Astyanax mexicanus: one gene and its partners. The protein of the gene in region 1 binds, or shares a complex with, the protein of each later gene. Links are inferred from orthologs where the notes say so. Each region holds a gene or a part of one and is shown on either strand. Other genes may lie near its edges. The genes, in order: bag3, hspb8 and stub1.

The links.
Region 2: bag3 (region 1) and hspb8 share a complex: the UniProt entries of both Homo sapiens proteins name them as parts of the chaperone-assisted selective autophagy (CASA) complex. The link is inferred for Astyanax mexicanus from reciprocal best matches to the Homo sapiens genes BAG3 and HSPB8.
Region 3: bag3 (region 1) and stub1 share a complex: the UniProt entries of both Homo sapiens proteins name them as parts of the chaperone-assisted selective autophagy (CASA) complex. The link is inferred for Astyanax mexicanus from reciprocal best matches to the Homo sapiens genes BAG3 and STUB1.

The regions. Positions count from the first base shown.
Region 1 is NC_064414.1:37,723,683-37,731,763, reverse strand, and holds the start of bag3 (BAG family molecular chaperone regulator 3), read left to right. Parts: upstream 1-4,975; 5' UTR 4,976-4,998; coding exon 4,999-5,190; intron 5,191-8,081. Other genes in the region: tial1 (nucleolysin TIAR), read right to left, coding at 58-112, 222-320, 506-602, 2,538-2,566. UniProt on the Homo sapiens protein: Co-chaperone and adapter protein that connects different classes of molecular chaperones including heat shock proteins 70 (HSP70s), e.g. HSPA1A/HSP70 or HSPA8/HSC70, and small heat shock proteins (sHSPs), e.g. HSPB8.
Region 2 is NC_064429.1:38,598,928-38,606,850, forward strand, and holds the start of hspb8 (heat shock protein beta-8), read left to right. Parts: upstream 1-4,873; 5' UTR 4,874-5,225; coding exon 5,226-5,580; intron 5,581-7,917; coding exon 7,918-7,923. UniProt on the Homo sapiens protein: Involved in the chaperone-assisted selective autophagy (CASA), a crucial process for protein quality control, particularly in mechanical strained cells and tissues such as muscle. Displays temperature-dependent chaperone activity.
Region 3 is NC_064413.1:56,075,479-56,082,610, reverse strand, and holds the start of stub1 (E3 ubiquitin-protein ligase CHIP), read left to right. Parts: upstream 1-4,029; 5' UTR 4,030-4,364; intron 4,365-5,720; 5' UTR 5,721-5,837; coding exon 5,838-5,957; intron 5,958-7,132. UniProt on the Homo sapiens protein: E3 ubiquitin-protein ligase which targets misfolded chaperone substrates towards proteasomal degradation.

The DNA of each region.
Region 1 (8,081 bases):
TATAATTAGTACAAAAACATTGTTTATACAAAGTGTTTAAAAAGAAACAAATCTTACTGGATGTGTCTTTCTTCTGACTGCTTGGAGTTGTTGCCCAATTTACTTTGACTTCCTGCACATAAAAAAATCGTTTTTAAGGTTAAACAGAAGAGTTTTCATATAAAGCAAATCACTAAGAGGGAAAAAACATCTTAAACAATTGACATGGCAAAACAAAGTACCTTTCCAAGAATCTTTCTTCCGTTCATTGCGGCTAGGGCAGCTGCGGCATCCCTGTGTTCAAAGAACTCCACAAAGCAATATGGGTCATTGCTTGTGTGCTGCAGAAAAGAAGGTCCAACAGAGTGTCACTGTTCTGACATTACAAAATAGCATGATTAGCACAATAGGACTTGAAAAAAGCAAAACATTTTCTTAGACTTCATTTAACAGGCAAAGACTTTGTAGGAAACCTAAACTTTAGTTAAAAATGAGTCTTTCAATCAGGGCTATATCCCATTCTTACCTCTGTTATCATTTTACAACTTTTACAGGGGCCAATCTGGGTGAACAACTGGAGTATCAAGTTCTCTGTGACATCCCTAGAGAGGTTCCCCACGTAACTGAAAAACAGAAAACACAGACATCCAGCATATCACAATGCTCAGAATGAGAAGTGAGAATAAAGCTTATTAGTTTAATCAATTCAGCAAAAATCTCAATGAAGCTTGCCTTTATGGCAAACCATTTTTAAATCTCTGTAATGCACTTTTTTACTAGTGGAAGCTCATTTCAGAGATCAGCTGTGATTTTGTATTAGTAAAATCAGATCTATAAAGACATTCTTACTATTCATTTTACCAGGAAGACATACCCTAGATCAAAGTATGACTACTCATACAAGTCATATCCAATCATTTAATTTATCAAAAGCCTTATCTATATGTGCACTTCTATAACAGAAATCTATAATTATTTTCTCCACTGGTAGATACTGTAATTTCAGATATCTATAATGTAATTCTGACAAATTCTATATTTGTACAACTTGAAAAGTTAATTATGGACCAGGTCTTTTTTTTATAGAGATGTGTAAATAACTGAAATTATTCTGGTATCCTGGTGAAAAAAAGTAATTCTAGATGTCTGTAATTGGAGTGTTTACTTGTAAAAATGCTAGAACGTTGATAATGTCATAGATCAGGTAAATATTTTACTAATATCTGAAATGTGAGTTTCTACTGGAAAACAAAAACGTAAATTACAGTTTTTTTTCTCAACAGCAGATTTCTTCACCTTACAACAAACCACACTAAAATGCAAAAAATGAACGTTAAAAAAGTCCAGTATATTTAAGCGAAATACAAAGAGCTTTTAAATCTCTTTATTTTTATTGGTAAAAACTGTCAGTTCGCTGGTGTCAGAAACGGCTTGCCACATTGCCCTTATTGTTCCAGATGAGCGAAAATGACAAAGGAAAGAAAGGCTAGCGTGTCTCTTTCTTTATTAAGCTAGCTAGCTAACTAGTTTGCCACCAATAACGTTACTCTTAAGAAGAAAACTTTTCTGAAAAAGCTAATAAATAACAGTGCCACGCCAAAAGGCAGAAAAATATAGGATAAAAACCCGATGTTAGTAAACCTAAGGCTAGCTGTCTGACAGTCACATTGTTTTCCGTTTAAAAATGCCGGAGAGGGCATTTCTGTAGCTTACAGACGGGCTGCCAACAGTTGTAGCCGTTTCTATAAATAGATCAGAACACTAAAACAATGACAACAAATAACAGAACAAAGTTGGCATTTCGTCGGGAAAATGTCTAGAAGAACAATAACCGTTCGTGTAAAGGGTGCACGGCACTGTAGTCTGTTATTAGGCCTCTGAAATCCAGCAGTGAGCGGCTGTGTGTCAGACAATAGCTAACGTTAAACAAGCGGCTACTGCTAGGCAGCTAAAGCTAGCTAGCTACTTTAGCTATCCCTTTGAAATTATTTGCTAAGCTAAGTTAAATTACTAGTCTATTTCATTGGATACGAGTCCATAATAAATTATAAAATTCTGCTTGTGGAGTTGGTTAATTATGTAACGGTAGACATGTAGCTATGACACCACATACAGCCCTTTATATAACTCAATTTTGTTTCACATAGCTACTCATATAACGTTAACTTACTTTAACTTGGACGGCTAACGGCGGCTAGCTAGCTGCTAGCCCCGCTCACAAGCTAACTATCTATGCAGCTAACGCTAGCTACTTATATTACCCATAGATAAACTGGCTAAGCTAGCTAGCAACCGTTGTTAGCTAGCAAGCAACGAGCTAGCAAACAGAGGTGAGCAGCAGTTCACACATCAGGCAGACAACACAACTCACTGACAACTCTGCACACTATGATTTTCACAGAGTTTAAACAGTTCTAGCCCTGTCCCTGAGCGCACATCTCTGTCTGAGAGGAGAAAAAAGACCCCAGAACAGGTTACGCTCCCGTTAAGTGAACGACTGTGGTTTAGAACACTCCAGTCTAAACGTATAGACAACTATCCCGCTCTAAAGTACTCACAGGGTTTTTGGGTGGCAGTCGTCTTCCATTCTCGGATGTCGTGCTAAGTCTTCGTGTAACCTCTCAACGGCTCCTGTGCCCTGTTATTTTGGTTAAAAGAACGCCAGACCGATTTAAGCTAGTTACTTTCTTTATTGTGTAGAAAATGGCGAAACCCGGCCAGCTAGGAATCCAGCCAACGCGCATGCGCGCAGCATCACGGGGTTGAGCACTGTTGAGCGAGTGCGAGCGCGTTCAAGCCCACAATAGCAAGTAGAGCGTAGCCTCAACACAGCGCAGTATGTGTGTAGACATATATACAGTTTGGGGGGGGGAACACCTAAAAATTATGATTTGTTTTTAATTTAATTGAATTTTTGCTTGAATTTTTGCTCCAGGAGTGGCATAAAGTTATCCTAAAGCATTTTGTAAGATTAGTGGAGAAGAACTTGACAAGATGCATGAAAACTGTGATTAAAACGGATGATTATTTCACCAAATATTCTGAACTCTTAAAACTTAATTAATAAGAACTTTATTATTGCATTATTTGAGGTTTGTAAGTTTTGCATCTTTTTGTTATTTCAGCCATTTCTCATTTTCTGCAAATAAATGCTCTAAATGACAATATTTTTATTTGGAATTTGAGAGAAATATTGTTAGTAGTTTATAGAATAAAACAACAATGCTCATTTTACTCAAACAGAGACCTATAAATAGCAAAATCAGAGAAACTGATTTAAAAAATAAGTTTTCTCTCATTTTTTCCAGAGCTCTATGTGTTTGTGTATGAGGCTTCACAGTAAGATATCCTAATGGAACCAGCAAAAATGTTTTTGTTTTTCTATTATTTTTTTTTATTATTTAATTAGTATGGTTAGGGTGCTTATATATATATATATATATATATATATATATATATATATATATATATATATATATATATATATATATATATATATATACACACACAAAAACAGAAAACAGAAAAATATATAAAAATATATATTCAGCTATAGGGAATGATTCTCCAGTATGTAGCCATGTGCCACTAGTACCAATATTTGATATGCAGAAAATTACAAAGTTTTGGATATATGTGTAAACTAATTGTGCAACAATAAACATTTACAACTATTACTACAACTACTCTAGGCATAGGTCATTGTGTGGGCTATGTGATGAAAATTAAAATGGTAATAATTTGCTTAAGGACATCTATTAGTGATTGTATTTTGAAGTGATTTTATTCCAAATTCCTCTTCTCTTGCTCTATAATTTAATTTTCAGTGGTCATTGCAGATGAGTTTGAGCATAGGAAAATGTATTAATGCAAATCAATAACTTCTTAATGCAAAATGTCTCTAATCATTCCCACGTAGCATTATACAAATATGCAGATTCCTGCACCCTTTTTAGAACATGTGGGGAACTTGATTTACTGAGAGATTAATCCCACATTGGCTTGCTTTAATGTAGTCTATGATCAGGAATTACATGCTAGTTGAAACTAATAAAATACCTCAGCAAATGCATAAGAACATGGAACATAGTCTCATTTTTCTGATGTCCAACACATTTAGTGATTTCCCTAGATTTGACAATTAACATTATGTACATAGCATATGTACACCTCTACTTTACCTCAAGTACATGGTTTGTGTACTTTGTCCACCATGTTGAAAACAGACGGATTGTATCAGATCAGTGTGGAAAAAGGGATGTTACGGGCAATCATTAAACTGGACTAACTTTCCAGGACAGGAAAAGATGACCCCTGCACTGAACAAACATGGTGGCAGTATAGTTCATGCTGTACTGCTGCACTTTTTTCATACACAGTATATCAACCTGTTAACCATAAAATGACCAGAATGATAAGTGTATCATGCTGCCTGTCATTTTTTTGCATTGTAGGCTTGATATAGCTGTGGTGTGGTCTGAATAATTGCTATTAGTCACTTGCTGTTAGTCAGTTGCTTGCATTTGATATACCAGGATTATAGGCAAAAGTTGACACTGTATGTTCTAGAAATGTCTAGAAAATCTAATCTTAATTTTGATAGCATAAGACTCTAAATGCTGAGGAGTGCCCTTCTGTCCTTCCCGTATGTTTTTTTGTCCCTGCCCTTCAAACATCTTTTGTTTCTATACATCTCAAAATATTTTAATATTTTAAATTTTCACATAAGGTTCTATTTTCTTTAGATTCTTCAGCATTGTCTCTAAATTATTTAATATTAAGGATTTTTTGTCATTCAAAATTATTTAATAATATTCTAATCAAATATTATTATTTTTTTTTACATAAGCAGAAGCTTATAGACGTATCCATTCTAAAGGGGTAGGTCAAGCCTCCAAGACTCAGCTGTGTTCAGCCCACTAGAACTTTCTCAGCAGCCCACCAGCTGCTTCGAGAAACCCACCCCCAGTCAGCCGTACGTCATCACATCGGTCCTTTAAAGGATCCGTGTGCGCTGTCATGGCACAATATTCAAGAGCGAGACTACAGCAGAGCATGAAAACACTGTCTCCTGTGGAAGCGATGGCTACGAATGACCCCCTGCCGCCAGGATGGGAGATCAAGATTGACCCTCAGACCGGCTGGCCGTTCTTTGTGGATCACAACAACCGCGTAACGACGTGGAACGACCCGAGACATGACTCTAAGAAGGTAGGATCTGCGGAGAGAGCCGTCGTGGCGCAGTCGCAGAACTGCCATGGAAGAAGTTGCGCTCTCACGTCCCTGTCGCTTCTCTGCTTTGCTTTTTTGCGGAGTGTCAAATAATGTGGCTGACAGGTGGTCTCCGGTGGGCTGGAGGGGGGGAGGCTTTGGTCTTTAGCTAGCTGTTTATTTGCTATTTGCTCTAGTGGACTGGTGGTGGACGTAGGCGTGAATAGTTTTTTAGCATAACTTTGTGTGGGTGATCTGATTTAACTGGCTACATTATTATAGACTGCGTTGATGTCTACATTCCGCTACATACATTATAATAAAAAAGCCTATAGAGAGACTTTTAAATAGCCAGTGGAGATACGTCGTATAGGCTGCTGGAGATACTTCTAAAGGTTCTGAGCTGAGCGGAATTATTAGTTGATTATTACCTTGGTTAGTTGGCTAGTTGAATGACATCAGGCCACATTCCTGAAATAGCGCCTCATATATTCTTTGTAGCTACCAGCTATCACGCTGTGTATAATATTTTAGTGTTATGATCTAAGCCGGCCAGCCTGCTTTTAGTGCGTGTGACGCACTGCAGTTGCATGTAGCCAAGCCTTAAGACTCGGAGTGTTTCAGAGTCTCCATAATGGTTATTTTTAAAGAGGCTGAAGCTCCACACACACACACACGCACAAACACACGCGCACACACACACTGCGTTTGTTCGGGAATATCGCCGCTGGAACTGCGCGCTATCATGTCTGTCCTCTAAAGTTTCCCTTACATGGGATTTGAGACGGATCCACCCTCTCTCTGAGCGCGTCGGTGATGACCAATGAATGGGTCGATACTTGGAAAGGCAGAATCATGGTGATTCAGTTGTTCAATTTCGTCAAAAAAAATTAAATAAAAGGAGAAAAGTCCTACTTTACTTTACTTCACATTATAAGCTGGAAATTCTTCTAAGCTGTTAGGTTGAATCACTCACTATAGGGTGCAGACTGTAGGGCTCGCCAGTTGGTATCTCTCATTAGAAAGATCAACACGTTGCTGTTGGCCAAAGTTAGTGTCACCAAGAATCTGCTGGAAAGACACAGCTGCCAGGAGATAAAATGAGCACAAGGCCGTCTCGGTGTCCACACGTCCATGCCAAAAAGGCAGAGGACACAAGGTCATTCACCTACTTCATTCACTTTAAAGCATTTTCTTTCTTCAGTTTTCTCACCAAACTACATGCTATACTATATACAACTACTTGTAAATGTATCCTAATTTTAGGTTAAACCAAAGCTAAACCAAATATAAGCCTTATTGTGTGGACCGACCAGGTTTAAAGACCTGACCACCTCCACCACCAGCACCACCACAATATCAAAATTTTTGTTTTGATTGCTGTCCCTCCCTGTGTGGGATGAGAGATTGTCTGGGGCCCATACCTCTGATTCACACTGATGAGTAAGGGAGGCCTTTTCTTTCTCATCATAGATCTGCTTAGTGACGCCCACCCCCTCACAAAGTGTATTTTAAGCTCCAGTGTCAACTAAACAGCAACCCATTCAACATACACACATGCACACACATACGCACACATAGAAACACATAACATGAGTCATGTAATATATGTACAGTAGCCTGTATAACTTCTGTATAGCTGTTGAACAGCCTATAGTTGCATGTAAAATGATTTATACTGTGAATGTGCTCTTTGCTCAGCCCTCACCCCATTGTTAAAACAGATTACTGTACATAAGTTGAGTTTAGCTCTAAATTTGTTGACCACACTGGGAAATTTCATACTTGATTTATACCACACTACTTTCACATGGCTTTACTTTAGCACAATTTGCAAAGATCATAAAGCACACTGTAACCATAAATATTTACAACTTTACAACAACCCGAAACTGAAATTAAAAGGCTAACAGCTTGTAAGACATAACACTGCACCATAAATCTTAGAAACTTTAATGCAATACTTACTTAAATTAAATTATTGCAATTTACAATTTACTCCACCTCTGTTCTTCGATAGTATGTCCTTAAATAATAGTTTGAATCATGGAAAATCAATGGAATATTCTGCCTGTGATGAAACGATACTTGTTTTCCTTACGGTCATCAGCGAGGTGATACTTTTGACATTGTGTGTAGGTATTTCACAACATCTAATTATCCTGCACATACCAACGGAGCACTCTCACATCTTACAGGAAAAAACAGGCTTGTGCTTATTATTTATGCTTGTTTTTTACATTTAATTTTGGACAGTCAGCCTGTTTTGTAATTAAATTATAGTCAAACATTTTATCATCTCTCTTCTCATACATTAAAATGCAAAGTTCATTAATAATAAAGGATAAAGTAGGGCCAAGAAAAAAAATGAAAACAGTGAAGAAAGCATTAGAGTGTAGAGTCTTCTATGGATTAAAGCAGCAGTATATTTGTCATAGTGTACAGGATTTCAAAAATATGAAAATTTATAGTATTCTATATAGTGGGTCAGTTTTGTTAATACAGTGATTAGAGTGACTAAATGTTATTTTGGTATTGTGACACACCACCAAAGGGGAACAGGCATATCTTTTCAGGGTAAAATTTATTTGATCTGACTTCAGATTTAAATTTGTTAAATACGAAAAACAATGAGGGATGACTTTTTTACTCAATGATTAAAATTGCTTGTTGATTTGTAAGAGATATTCTGCTAAAGACCCATCAGCCCCGTAAAGGTTCTGCTTTAGCCTACTGTTACTGCTACTGCTGCGAATAATACGCAATAAAATGTATACTTTTATACCATTTGTCAGTAGGGGTTTACCTTAAAATAATTTAAACCAGCTTTACACCTAGTTTAGTGCTTCATTGATTTGTAACAGTGGGCACAGCATCTATATTGCTGCTAC
Region 2 (7,923 bases), on another chromosome or scaffold:
ATTAAAGGCGAGGAGACGAATCTACCGGAAAAACACCTACATGATCGTTCTGGACGGGAATAAAATCACAGAGGATAAAAAAAACATAAAATAGAAAATTACCCAGAACCCCCTGAAAAAATAATCCTGTCCGGATAGAGCTTTAGCCCCACTTATCTTTTTCTTTTACATGTTTTTTATGAACACGTCAAAAATCTTGAAACAGAGGGATAAATATTTATAATTGTTACACAATATACCACACGTTCTCTTACACCACTAATATTAAAGTTGAGCTCGTTGATTGGTTTATCAAACTCTGGTAAACTAGCTGAACTAGCGGTACCTTTTTACGTTTTTATGTTTTTTCTTCTTTTTGATTTTATCGGATTAGTTTTTCAGGAAAGAGATGATGATGTTATCTGGGAAAGGCTGCTGTGTTTCAGGTTAAAAACAACAACCTGTAAGAATCCATTTTTCCTCCATCAGCACCACTCTCCTTTTCCTTTTGATTTTTATTGTTATTTTTCTGTATTTTTCAGGTTTTTTTCTCAGGTTGTCAGTTTTGTTGAGTTAGAGAGATGTATGGTTTGTTTAACGGGTTTCTGGCTCCGGCCGGCGAGCTGTCGGCTCAAATGCCAGCGGTGTTTATCTTCAGCCCGAGAGAAAACACCGTGACGACGGTGACGGACGATCAGAACCGCAGTCGAGTTTCTGTCCGTCAGAAACGCCGGATTTTACTGCAGGAAAAAAATAATCTGTTTAGAAAGAGAGACCAGCAGGGGGAGCCTTCAACTCCTCTATACACTAAATATACACGCAGATATACGGTTATATACTGTATAATAAGGGACTGATTGATCACAAAGATAACTTGGGAAATCTGTCACAAATTGGATGATAAACCGGCTGTTTTAATTTTAAATACATAATTTTATAATGTATTATATTAATGATTAATATTATTTATTACTATATTAATTTAATTATAATGATTTCAGTCCCATTCCAGAGCACAGTTAATAGATAATGTAATATTCTTAAGCCTTTATTTTCTTTTTTTTTTTCTTATTTATTATCATTGATTTTTGTATTTGTTTACTCCTTTTATCTCAGGTACATTAATGTAAAGGCAGCCTATTTTATGAAGTCTTATTTAACTCTTTTATAATCTTTTCTAATTTATAGTTATGCTTTTCTCATATTTATTATTATTATTAGTTTGAGCATTTAATATTTCATATTTTATACTTTTTTATTTATTTTCTTTATGAAAACGTGCATGTACTGCTGGATGAGTAAATGAAGCTTCGGGTAAAATGTGATTTATCATAATCTGGTACTCTGGAGTAATGTGAGTATTATTTATAGAGATATACAGCACTTTACAAATGTTTTATTCCCGTAATTACAGTATAATAACTGGTTAGTGCTAATGAAAATTATTTATCGATTAATTAATACTTCTCATCTTTTTTACACATTTAATCTGAAACTTTATAGGAATTATTTGTCCCACTTTATAATAAGTATTGGTAATAACTGTGTAATTACACATCAACAACCTTGTAATAACAGTGTAACTACTGGTTATGTTTTTAATTGATTCGATTTAAATAGTTAATTAAATTAGTATTTATTAAGTATTTTGGATTTAACTGAGAAAATAAACACTTACTGTCCAGATTTAACACTTTATAATAAGGGAACATTAATTAACATTACAGTGCTGCTAATTAATTAATTGATGTACTTTTATTGTAAAGATTTTATTTATACAATATTTTTAAAGGGGACTAAATTTTTTGCAAAGTGCTGTATATTTATATAATGCAATACATTTAAATACAATTACAGAAATTATCTTTATTACCTGAAAAAGTCTGTATTTACTGTTTTAGACTGATAAACTGTAAAAGGGGTCCAAGCACTAATTACACTGCGGTTAATTTATCATTGTTTTATGTTGTTTTATTTTTGTTGTATAACTCTATTTATCTATTGGTTATTTATTGTTTGCCACTTCATTGTGTTTTTTAATATTATTTATATGATTAATTTATTAATTTAATGGTTAATTTTGAGTGTGTATGAAGGCGTTCTCTGGCTCTATGCACTGTAAATAATAAAATAAGGGTTTAGTTCTGCTGTACAGGGAATTATGGGAAAGGATCTGCTGGAGGAATGTGATTTATTATTATCAGGAATAATAAGAGCGATTCTGATTTAAATCTGATGTTTTATGTAAATCTGTGTGTAAATAATCTGAATAATGATGTGAGTTATGTGGGCATGTGTGTAGTGTAATTGAACAGCGGCGGCGGGGGTCTGTATATAACTACACTATAATCATATATACAGTAAATAATGATATATAATGATATATATATATGTCTTATCCGTCTACATGTAAAAGAAATAGTACAGAAAACCTGGAAACAAACCATGAACTTTATAAACACACATTTCTGTTCAGCACAATTTTTTAATGATTATTATTTATCAATTACAATATTTATATTTATATATATATATGGAACTAAGAACTAATATGATGGATGTTCTGTAGGGCTGGGTGATATATTGATATATTTATATTTTAATATATATTATCTACACTAGAGTATACTGATACTAATAAACAATGTTATTGATTTTCAGATCAAACAGATAAACATAAATACAGTAAAAATAACAGGAATTTATTTTTCTTAATAAGTAAAAATAGCAGAATCCATTAAATAATCACTAACCATGTTCATTAAATTCTAGCAGATTTATTGTTTTCGCTATAGCTAAAATAAAACTGTATAAACATTAATAAAGATAATTCCAATTTTAACTAATCTTCCAAAAAATGCTCCTTTTATAAACTATGATGTCATAAAAAGCCATAAAGTGTCATAAGCTGATATTTATCATTGAAAACCAAAAGTAAACTTTCTTTTTATATCTGTAGAAATCCGTACTGATTAACGTTTAGGTAGATTTTCATCAGTTTTTTCCCAAAGATCCTGAATAAAAAAACTAAAATAATAAAAGTTTCTTCAGATTAAAAAATAAATAATCTTTTAAAAGACCTAATGAACCTCAGAAAATTAAAGTGAAGATTATTTTTTTGTTTTTATATGTCAATGTTTATGTGTAATATCGGATTTCAAAAATTGATTTAATCTGATGAATTTCGCCCAGCTCTGCTGATCTGCTCACTAAAACGATATAATAAAATATAATATATAATAAAAATATATAAAAACTAGTCCTAATGTTTTAATAAAAAACACAAAGTGAAAACTATTAATAATTGATTAATCTGTTCTAATATTTCTGGATCCGTCATTCAGAACCGTCCGGTCCGATATTACATCATAATAACACACACATCACCATACAGTAATAACAAAGCACACAAACCCCGCCCCCTGCCCCCTCGCCCCGCCCCCCTCCTGTACTGTAATATATACAGTATACTGTGTGTAGAATAAGTGGGTAATTAGTCTTCCTCTGTTGTCTGATCTGTAATTAAACCTGATTAAATCTGTAATTAATGATAAAAAATAAGTAAATAAATAAATAATAAATAAATAAAACCTCTTTTATTTCCAGTTTGGCTTTGATTTTCTTACTTTAGTAATCAGTATAAAAGTGCTTCAGCGTTTAGTTTAAACCCCACCTCTCTGTTTTGATCTCATTAAGATTATTTATACAGATGATTTAAAAAATATACATTCATTTTAAAAATAGTATTTTTTTGGCAGCAGCAGCCTCTGTGAAGAAATGTGTTCAAATTAGTTTTTATTACCTAATTCTGTGTAAAATTACAGAATTTACAAAATGTTGTTTTGTGTTGAAGTGCTGTAATTAACTTTGTTAGGATAATTAAGGTGTTTAATTCGATATACACCTTTATAATGAGGATCTGAAATAACAGTATTATTATAACAGTAATAAACATTGTTAGATAGTTCAGTAATGTCTCTAATTATTATTTAACACTAGTTAAGAGATTATTAATCATAAATAAATTTGAGTTGAGACATTTTAAGACATTTGAAAAAATACTGTTAATTAATGTACCCTTATTGTGAAGTGTAATCAAAATGTTTGTGATTATATTATGATTTAGTTAAAAATATTTTTTGTCTGTTTACAAGAATTCTACAGTTAAATACTGTTTTCTCATAATTGTATTTGGTTTGTGAGAGAAAACAGAATCATTTGTTTATCAGTTTCATCAAGTAAACTTGCTGTTTTATATCTATAGGAATCAGTACTGATTAATGTTTATTTAGATTTTAATCAGTTGTCCTAAAATAGAGTTTCTTCAGATTAAAGAAACTTTTAAGGATCTAAAGAAACTCAGAACATCAGAGTAAAGAATTTTAAAATTGAATTTGAATTAATCTAAATAGAGCTTTTCTTTATTATGAACTAGTTTTATGTTGTTTTATTTGATATTTATATTTATATACTATATATTTATATGAGGGACGTTAGTTTTATAATAAATTTAGTTGTTGAGATCATTCCAGCTCCGGATGAGTAACAAACAAACAACTCAATAATCAGGTTATATTTAGGGTACAAATAAGGTTATATATAGTTTATATATAAGTTATATATATGGTTATATATGTGATACTGATGTGTTGGTGTTAAGGACTCTCGGGTCGGGTTGGGTCAGGATTCCTGCGGGACGTCCCGCTGCATCACCCCTACACTAATAGAGTAATATGTGAGTACTGGGGGGGAGGGGGAGGGGCTTACGGTGACATCATCCTGCCCTGCTCCTGCTCTGAGTGAAGTTCTATTAAAAAGCCAATGAGTCACCAGATGGGGCGGGGCATGCAGCCGGGGGCGGGGCCAGTGAGGTCCCAGGGCTATACTTGGCCGGCTGTGGGGGCGGGGCCAGTACATTCTGGAGGCCTGAGTCTGAGAGTCACACTGAGGGTGAGGAGATCCAGCAGCTCTATAAAACCCAGATCCAGAACCACAGAACCTCCTCAGAACAGAACCACAGAAACGGTGTCGGATCAGAACAGGAGAACCGGACTCTTCTGCAGCAAAACTTCTACAGATTTTTAAACTTCAGAGAAACTTCACCACTAAAAACAGCTGAACTCCCGGCACAGACTATCTGACTGTACTACTGTCTGATTATTCGATTAATCGATTATCTGACTGTCTGATTGTTCGATTAATCGATTATCTGATAATCGTGTAATCGGTGTTTGGGGGTATTGATCATGGCGGAGGGTGATTTCTACACGTTGGGCGGCAGTAGGCAGCGGATTCCGCGTAATCCGTTCTCTTCGCACTTTATGGACGATGATTTTCCGATGCCTGCGTTTCCGGACGATCTGTCGATGGATTGGCCGGGTTGGGCCCGCCCCCGGCTGAGCGCTCGCCACAGCGCCCCCTGGCCCGGTGCCCTGCACTCGTCCTTCCCCCGCCGCTACACCGAGCCGTCCCGCAGCCCCGCCCCCGGCCCCGCCCCCACCGGCCTCACCGACGAACCCTGGAAGGTTTGCGTCAACGTCCACAGCTACCGACCCGACGAGCTCAGCGTCAAAACCCGAGACGGATTCATCGAGGTTTCAGGTCAGAACTCTAACACAACTTTACATATATATATACTGTTTATATAGTGTGTATGTATGTTTATGTAGTGTGTATGTATGTATTACAGTGTATATACACTGTAATAATACAAATGAATCACTTTATAGACATAACATCTTTATACAAGCACACACTCAACAGTACATTTCAATAATGATTCATAATACTTAATAATATTATTAATTACTGATATAAGTATAAGTATAAGAATAACTGTGTAATTTCTCTTCATATATGTCCCCATATTTGAAATACACTTATAATACAGTAGTAATCGTACAGTGTTTGTAAATAACCTCAGTAAATTCCGCTGAGCTCAGTGTCGCCCCCTGTGTTTATTTAGTAAAAACAGATCATTAAGATGAATAAAGTTACTATTAATAAATCTGTAGTAAATCCTGCTGACAGTAAACAGTCAGTGATCATCATTTATTTATACAGTAATATTATTTATCTGCTGTTTTGTTGTGGAACAGTAATTATATCACCATGATCACTGAACATCACAAGATATCACAACTCAGCTCCACCCTCAGGCCTGTCCTCTATTAACCCTTTAATAACCTTTTAATAACGCTCTATTAACACTCAGAACTGGGAGAACAGCTGAAGATTAAAACTCAAAACAACTCCAGTCCTCTTTATTCCAGCTTTAGTTTAAATTAGTGCTTTTAACATTTTTATATCCAATCTGGTAATGCTTTGGTGTTTTTAGTTTTTTCTTAGCATTTGTACAGCTTTTTTATCACATTTTTTATTTTTAGTGTTTTTGTTTTTTGTGTTTTTTTAGTCCTTCTATGGAAATTTCTTAGTGTTTTAGCATTTTTGTTTTCAAAGGTTTTTGGTCCTTCTTTTGGAGTATTTTAGTGCTTTTTGGCATTTTGTTTTTAGTGGTTTTTAGTCCTTCTTTGAGAGTATTTAAGTTGTTTTAGCACTTTTTTTGTTTTTTTGTTGTTTTTAGTGCTTTTAAGTGCTTTTTTAGCATTTTGAAGTTACTACTCAGACGTTCAGAAGGCAGATTTATTTTATTTATATTGAAATACAGATTAAATATAAATCAGCACTAGTTTAGAGTGTATAGGGTCAGGCCGGGTTGGTACAGAAGTTGGAGAATGACTTGCAGATCACTGAGACTCCAGTTCAGCACCTGCTGAGATCTTTAACCAGCTCGACCCCACAGATAATATTAGCCCAGCAGCTCCAGAGCTGTAAATAACTCAGATCACTGTGGAGCCGTGGAAACCAGGGGCTGTTAAAATGATAGACTGATTACCACACATGCAGAACGTCAACCACCAATCACCAAACACCAACCAACTACCACCAACCACCAACCATTAACCATCAACCACCAACCAACTACCACCAACCACCAACCATTAACCATCAACCAATAACCATCAACCACCAAACACCAACCATCAACCACTAACCACCAACCATCAACCACTAACCACTATCCACCAATCATCCTCCACCAGCCACTAACCACCAACCAACCACCACCAACCACTAACTATCAACCACCAACCACTTACCACCAATCACCAACCACAACCCACCAATCACCAACCACCAATCACCAAACACCAACTATCAACCACCAGCCACCAACCACCAACCACTAACACATACCTAAATTTACATACCTTTTCTCCAGTCTAAATATTCACCTCTCTCTCTTCCTCTCTCTGCAGCCTTTTCCTCTGTTGTTACATAAGAAAGGCTCACCTGTGGTCTTTTTATAGAGCTTACTTCCTGATTGAAGTGCTAACAATTAACCAATGAGGTGTTTGGGCAGGTGCCGCATTTATTAGCCAATTAGCTGATGCTGTGTGATTTTGAATGGCGGTGTTTTGATATGGAAACACGTGACTTTATATCAGATTGTTGTGTTTTATGCAGATAATCGAGATCAGTGAATATAAAAAGTGTTGTTTTGATTTGCTAAATGTTGCTAAAAGCAGAAACTGGGTTTAGAGGTTTGGAGATGAGAGGTTGTATCCTCTCTGTGTGTAAAGGTAAATAATTGTGATAAACATGTGATAGAAACTGGAAACACACTGTAACTGTAAGTTTCTGAGGCTCACTCAGAGTATCTGGGTGGGGGAGGGTGGTTGATGTGCTGGGGGGGGGTGGTTGACGGGGTTCTGTGATGTCACACCGTTTGGAGAATGTTCCTGTAGAACCAGAGACAGTGTGTGACTCAGTGTTCAGTAATTAAAGCTGATTAGAGTCTGATTAAAGTCTGATTAGAATCTGATTAGAGTCTGATTACACTGAGTTTTAATATCTGGTCTGATTTTATCTCTACAGGTAAAC
Region 3 (7,132 bases), on another chromosome or scaffold:
AGACCATCAAATATCAATCTGGATTAGTCTTCATATATCAACAATCCGTTTTCATGTGATTTATTAATGTCCAGGTTGTCACAAATCAATCAGGATACTAGATAACTATGCTAAAATCCTATTTCATGTATTTTCTGTATGTCCAGACTATATCAAACATTAATCTGGATTGAGTCTAGATCTGGTAAAAATCTGATTTGGGCTGGGTCTGAACACTTTGGGCTTGGAGATCACCACTCTACACTGAGCACTGAACTGCAGAACTGTAGGTAAAGGGAATTAAGAGTGCTGAGCTAGCCGTCGTTCGGTCGCATTACAGTCTTTATAGTGTTTAGTATTTGGGGGTAAACGGCTGCATTTACAGAATTCGCCACGTTTTCAGCCAATTATTCTGTTTACTATGTTCATTTCTTTTATTTTAGTTTTGTTCCCCCTTTTTATGTTGATCTGTTTAGACGGTGGAGCTCTTTACCGTGTACCTGTACTGTTTCGTAGAGTGTGTGAGTGCGAGTGTGTAAGAGAGTGTGTGTGAGGTGGCTCAGGCTTTATTTAAAGCTGCTCTGAGGTCAGTTTGACAGCCCGTGAATGTGTGTGTGGGTGTATGAGTGTGTGTGTGTGTGAGTGTGTAAATAAACGTAGCTGCACGTTCTCCTCCCTAAACAGACAGGAAGAAGTCCTGCTGTCTCCTCCAGTAGCAGAAGACCAGGCTAGAGATCAGTAACGCCGAGTGAGTGAGTGATTCATGGCCGAGTCCAGTTCTCTGATGGTTTATTCTTTCAGGTCTCAGATGTTCCTGTTCTTTTATAATGCAGTTATGATTCATGTTGTCCTAATCTAACTCATTAAATGGATTTTATGAACTTGAACCCGTCTGTCTCTGCATGTCCGGTTACGACCCATCCTGTAAAATACCATATTGAATCGATACGAGATGTTATTTGTTTTGTATTTCCATAAATGTCCAAAACACACATCCTGATTTTAAAGTTGAAAAAGGCTAAAAATGGGAGGGGTGGTTTGAGAGGGGCACTATAGGTGATGTATGGGTTTAGATGCGGAGCAGGAAGGAGAGCTGATTGGGCTGAGTAGTGTGCCTCTGATATGTATTATTGATTATTGACTGATTTGCATATTGTGATGTGTTTGTGTACCAAAGTACACAGAAACATCATCCTGGCCTATAGCACAGCTGAACCTGAAGGGGAGCTGCAGAGGCAGAAACTACCACAATAAAAGCATTTTTTTTAAAGGTTAGAAACTTTCTAAATTTTTTAAGCAAGACTAACACGTTTTATTACTTCAAACGAGCTGCAAAGACCCACTTTATATTTTGAGGGAAGAAACTCCCAACTAATCAAAACGTCTAGGGTTTAAGGAGGCAACAACATAAACGTCAGTTTTCAGTAAATATGTATTAAAATCAAGACAAATCACTTAAATACACAAAAAGAAAATTTAACAACAACTTCAGGGTGAGCTTAATGCCACGATATCCAACAAAACAAATCTTAACCCAGCCCCCAGCTAACTTACCTGGAACCACAACGAAATAAAATAAAATAAAAAAAAGACAGAAAATAACTTAAGTTTAAGTAAGGCTTTTACAAACAGACCACCTGCTTGAATCATCCAAAAGGCAGCCAATCCACAGGCCTATGTGAGGTCAGCTGACTTTCCCCTCCAGATCACCTGAGTGCGTGGGAGCTTCACCTGAAAAACTGAAATAAAAAAATTAATTCAGCGTACATTTCAGCTATTGTGATGATAATTTATTTGAATAATACACAGTAATATTACCCAATGTAAATATTACATATTGCTATTTAAAGTAATAGTCTGTTTTAATACAAAATAGTTATAAAAAACGACTTTTCTATTTAAGCTTAAAGTAAACGTTGTGTGATGATAGATCTTTTAAAGGAGTAAACATCAAACAGTATTAAAATATATTTAAAAAAAGTGAATATGCTATATTTAATAGCATATATGTAACACTAGAGAACACTAAATAATGATTTAAAATCTGTAAATATATACAGAAATTAGACTCAATAAATTAAAAACAATATTTGCCTTTTTTTGTGTCTGTGTTGAATGCCTATTAAATTGTCTCTTTTACTGGTATATCGCTGAACAGTAATTGACGTGATTTGTTTTGCATTTCCAATAAATGTGAAAAAAACATATAAAGGATCATTTATTTAATTTAACAGCAGATTTTTAGCTGATATAAATATTGAATATGAAAATTTAAACAACAAATCATACTAATGCATTAACTCTTGATAAATAAAAAGAAAATGTTTGTAGCGCTTTCTGTTTAATTTGTGTGAAAATATATTTATTTTTGGGGAATACAGTGATAAGTGGTCATTATACAAATTAGATTATTAGTGTGGTTTAACTGTTTAAATGACCCGACTTACATTTTTTTTTAGCTTACAAGACAGACAGCAGACAAATATGGTTTAATTTATTTAGCAATTAACAGTCATCCCTCTCTACTGCTCTGGGTTACCGCTGCAGAAACGAATAAAATAAAATAAAGCATAATAAAATAAAGTGGTCGTATTTTAATGTCTGAAAGGAGGCACCTCCTAACAGGAGCTGTGCTGCCAGGGGAAAGCGATGGGTCAGCAGAGTGGAGTCCAGAGAGGAGAAAGCCCTGGATCAGCTGGATGAGCTCAGCAGAACACGCCCAGCTCACACTACACTCAGCTTTCACACCAGCACTATTTGTTCTGGTTAAAACAGACTCTGATTGGTTTGTACTCTTAGTGCGGTTTAATTGAGCAGGTGCGAAAACAATAATCACACAGTAATTCTCACTTGTGGTGAAAACGTGATCTGGTCTCGATCCGACTCAGATATCAAATATACTTCTTTTATTTGAGCTAAACTGCTGATAAGGTGCAGTTTAATCTGATATAATTACCACAGCTATGAACAAATGCTGCTTCATGCTGTTTACGCTCTAAGAGCGTGGTCTGTGCTGCGTTTACTGCTCACAGTTGTGTGACTCTGTTTACTATGTGTACATATGCGCTGCACGTCCCATTGAAAACACTGTGTTTAAAAGAGCTGCAGCAAATTTTCTGTGTTCTGTGTTAAATCAGCTTCACACTGCACTGATTTACAGATATACACACTGGAACTTCTCACTATATTTACTTTTTTACTCCCACACAAGACAGTGCTAGGCATTGACTACTGCTTAAAGTGTACTTTAATTTACATTATACTTTGTAAAGTGTATTAAAAATTATGTTAAAAAAAAAAACTTGAATCTAATTAAGTTCACAGATGTTATACAAAAAGCACTCAAATGCACAAACTCCTAATTTTATGTTGTATTTAAATATAGCTTAATTACAATTGAAATATACAATCCTAATGCGTGGCCACAAGTTATTGGGAATGAGATAATTAAGGTGTGGGAACAACATAATTAAGTTGTAGCCAGAGAATAATAAAGCTTGCTTTTCTGTAAATTAATGCACATGAGCGAATAGCTTTCCCACATTCCCTTGAACCCTCTGTGAGCTGATGTAACAGAACTGAGTCGCTGTGCTTTAAGTTGTGGCCACAGCTTAGGAACTAATTCCTATGCCTTAATAATAGTCATAGCCACTCATAATTATTTTTTTTTACATGACGTCACATAAGGGGCTACGTAGAAATAAACTTAAGTTGCCATAAGTTTTGGCCACACCTTAGGATCTCATTCCTATGCCTTAATAAGTCGTGGCCATGCATTATTAAATATTTTTACATGGTGTCATCTTAGGGGTTCCGTTTTAGTATGTATTTAAGTAAGTATTGATTTTAATGCTAAAAGTACGTGTTTTTCTATGTTAATTATACTTTTAATAAATATACTTAAATACACTTTTTTATTACAGGGGAAGAAGGCTTGTCCTGCCTAGCAACAGTATCTACCGAGAATCCAGCTGAACCGACTCTCTGAATCAGGAGTCAGTCTGAACTGAACAGCTGTAAACTGCGTGTTCATTAACTGAATCGATTCAGTGCGCTGACGGGACTCGGTTCTCCGGGTACATGTCCGCGGCTGTACGTCACGGTGGAAAACAAGCCGAGCTTTAGCTTTAGCGGCTCCGCAGCGGCGCGAGGATGAGCGGCTCCCTGTAGCCGCGGAGAGAAAGACCGCAGTTCTGGGTTTATTATTATAAAGAGCAGAAACCGGAGATGAACCCGCGAGTCGCTTAAACCGCGGGGCGCACGGAGCGAGCAGCCCGCCTGCCGGACAGAGCTGCTAGGCTAAGCTAAGCTAACGGCGGAGTCTGCGCGGCGCTGTGACCGGGGGAGGAGCGTGGGCGCCGGGCAGAGCGCTGAGTTTACCACCGGTAGGTCCCGACAGCAGCCGGAACCGGAGCAGGCCTATTCCATCAAATAACAGCGAGTTTCAGCTTCTTACAGCGGATAAAAGCTTATTAACTCCACTATTAGCGCGTTCGTGTATAAATTAATTCAATATTTATCTGTTTTTAGTCATTTTTAAGCGTTTTGTGTCATTAGAGCCCTGTTTTTGCTCTCTCTTTCCTGATGAGCAGCCCTAATCTAGGGCTGCAGCTAACGATTATTCTGCTAGTCGATTAATCGACTAACTAGTCGATTATTTAACAGAGTAGTCGAATAGTCAGCTATTATTTCTGCCATCTCTTTCTTCCATCTTTGCTATAGGTTGTATCTCTTTCTCTATCTTCCTCCACTTCAAAACGATATAAACAGCAGAACATGGGATTTAAATGCCAAGAAGCCTTGGATTTCACTTTAAGTAAACCTGTAGAAGCTATCCGCTCCCTGTGCCATGTGTGTGGTTACATGATTGGAAGAGCATATTGTAATGTGACGCTTCCACATAATACATTATTGCTGCCTTCACGTCCTCCTTGGAAAACTCTTTTGTTTTAGGTTGGATGTCGTAATTACTCGACATGCATTCAAGTGTATTTTGGTCGGGTGGAAATGGACGCCATTAGGAAAATCTTTTGTTTATACTTTTGGTTTATGATTCTAAAAAAAAAAAAAAAACCTGCAGGTTTATTTTGCCCTAATCCAGGAGTATAAAGAGTGATAAAGACACGCATTAGTTAAGTGATGGTTTTATCCCATTAGAACTATGAATCATACTAGACTTTTGATTTATTAGTTAGCTAATCACAACATGCAAGTGTTCAAGTGTGCATCAATTTATTTAATTTATTTATCAATTTAAATAACAGTAAAATTATTATTAATTTTTTGACCTCTTGTTACTGACACGCCCCCAACTGGGAAACTCTGTGCTAATCTAAAAATCCGAGTTTCCCACTTTTAAATACAGTTTGTTCAGAGTTTGTGGTGGCCTTAATGTGCTCTCCTCTCATAAATATGATATTTCCAACACCATTTGAAGGCAGCATAATTCCTTTTCCGTGTGTTTATTGCAATTTAATCACTCTGTGATAGGACTGGAGCGAGAGTACTGTAATAATAAAGCGCACTGTAATATGCTCTAATCGATGCATGGTTCTGAAGTTTATGTATATGAATATAAACCAGTGATAATGATCCCCTTTCCCAGATGTTCATATATTGCCACCCTTGGCCGTTTAATTTTTTTTTACTGATTGAGTTATTGTTCATCCAGAGAAAACTAGTTGAGTTGTTTTAGAGTTGTATTTGAGTCTGGATCCTGTGTTCACTTTTTGGATTTGCAGCTCGAGGGCAGAGGCATCTCTCCAGGTGACCCCGGGAGCGCCGGTGCCCCAGCCGAAGAGACGGGGAACAGGATTGGGAAGCAGGGGGGAGCGGCCACCGCAGAGCCTGTGGAGAAGATGCAGGCCGGCAGCCCGGAGAAGAGCTCCTCCTCAGCGCAGGAGCTGAAGGAGCAGGGCAACCGCCTGTTCCTCTGCCGCAAGTACCAGGAGGCCGCGGCCTGCTACAGCAAAGCCATCGTAAGTGTGGAGGAGCCAGAGAGTGGGACTGGGAACTGGGGGAATATCGTTAATCTTTTTAATTTAAATATCAATACTCAATACTCTGATAGGAGTACTTTTAGGTAATTGATGAGGATTGTATGCAAGTATGAATAAGTAAAGATTATTTATACTGAATGTTTATTTATACTCACTTTTTTAGCACTTTATTATTTTAGCTGAGTGCTTTATGGAAGTAAATTCATTATTAGAATAGCACACAAAGTATTTAGTCAGCCACTGATTATTGTGCGAGTTCTCCAACTTACAAAGATGAGAGAGGTACGTAATTTTCATCATAGGTAAATAAATTCAGTAAATTATGGTGGAAAATATTATTTGGTCAGTAACAAAAGGTTTGCACTCACTATAGCTAGAGTTTTGGCCCATTCCTCCATGCAGATTCCCTCTAGAGGAGGCAGTAATAACACAGAGTTTCAACCTTGAAATGCTTCTTATAAAGCCACTTCTTTGTTGCCCGAGTGTTGTGTTTGTGGTCATTGTCATGCTGGAAGACCCGGCCATGTTCCATCTTCAAGGCTCTCACTGATGGAAGGAGGTTTTGGCTTAAAATCTCATGATACATGTCTTCATTCATTAATTCTTACCATGATATTTTCCCAATCCTCTGCTGGATCATCCACATGCTCTATGGTGAACTTCAGTCGGGCCTGGATATGTACTGGTTTATGCAGGGAGACATGTTTGGCACTGCAGGATTTGAGTCCCTCTCTGTGTTTTACTGAAGTTTGTCTTTGTTACTTTGGTCCCCAGCTTTCTGCAGGTCATTCATCTGGTCCCTCTGTGTAGTTCTGGGATTTTTACTCCTTGTTCTCATGATTGTTTTGATTCCACAGGATGAGATCTTGCATGGGGCTCCTGATCGAGGAGGATTATCAATGGTCTCCTATGTCTTTCATTTTCCAGTTGATTTATTCACACAGACCAACCAATAAATTGTTTACCTCTTTTAATTTTTTTTATTTTTTATTTTTTTTTTACTAAAATTACTTAAAGTGCTAACCAGAAACAAGCAAAGGTACAAGTTTAGGTACTGACACAATGCACCTTCAAACCTCAAAAAACAAATAGAAAGAAAAAATAAAATGGTGCCCTTTTTGATAAAACTTACAAAATAGAAAACAATTTAATAT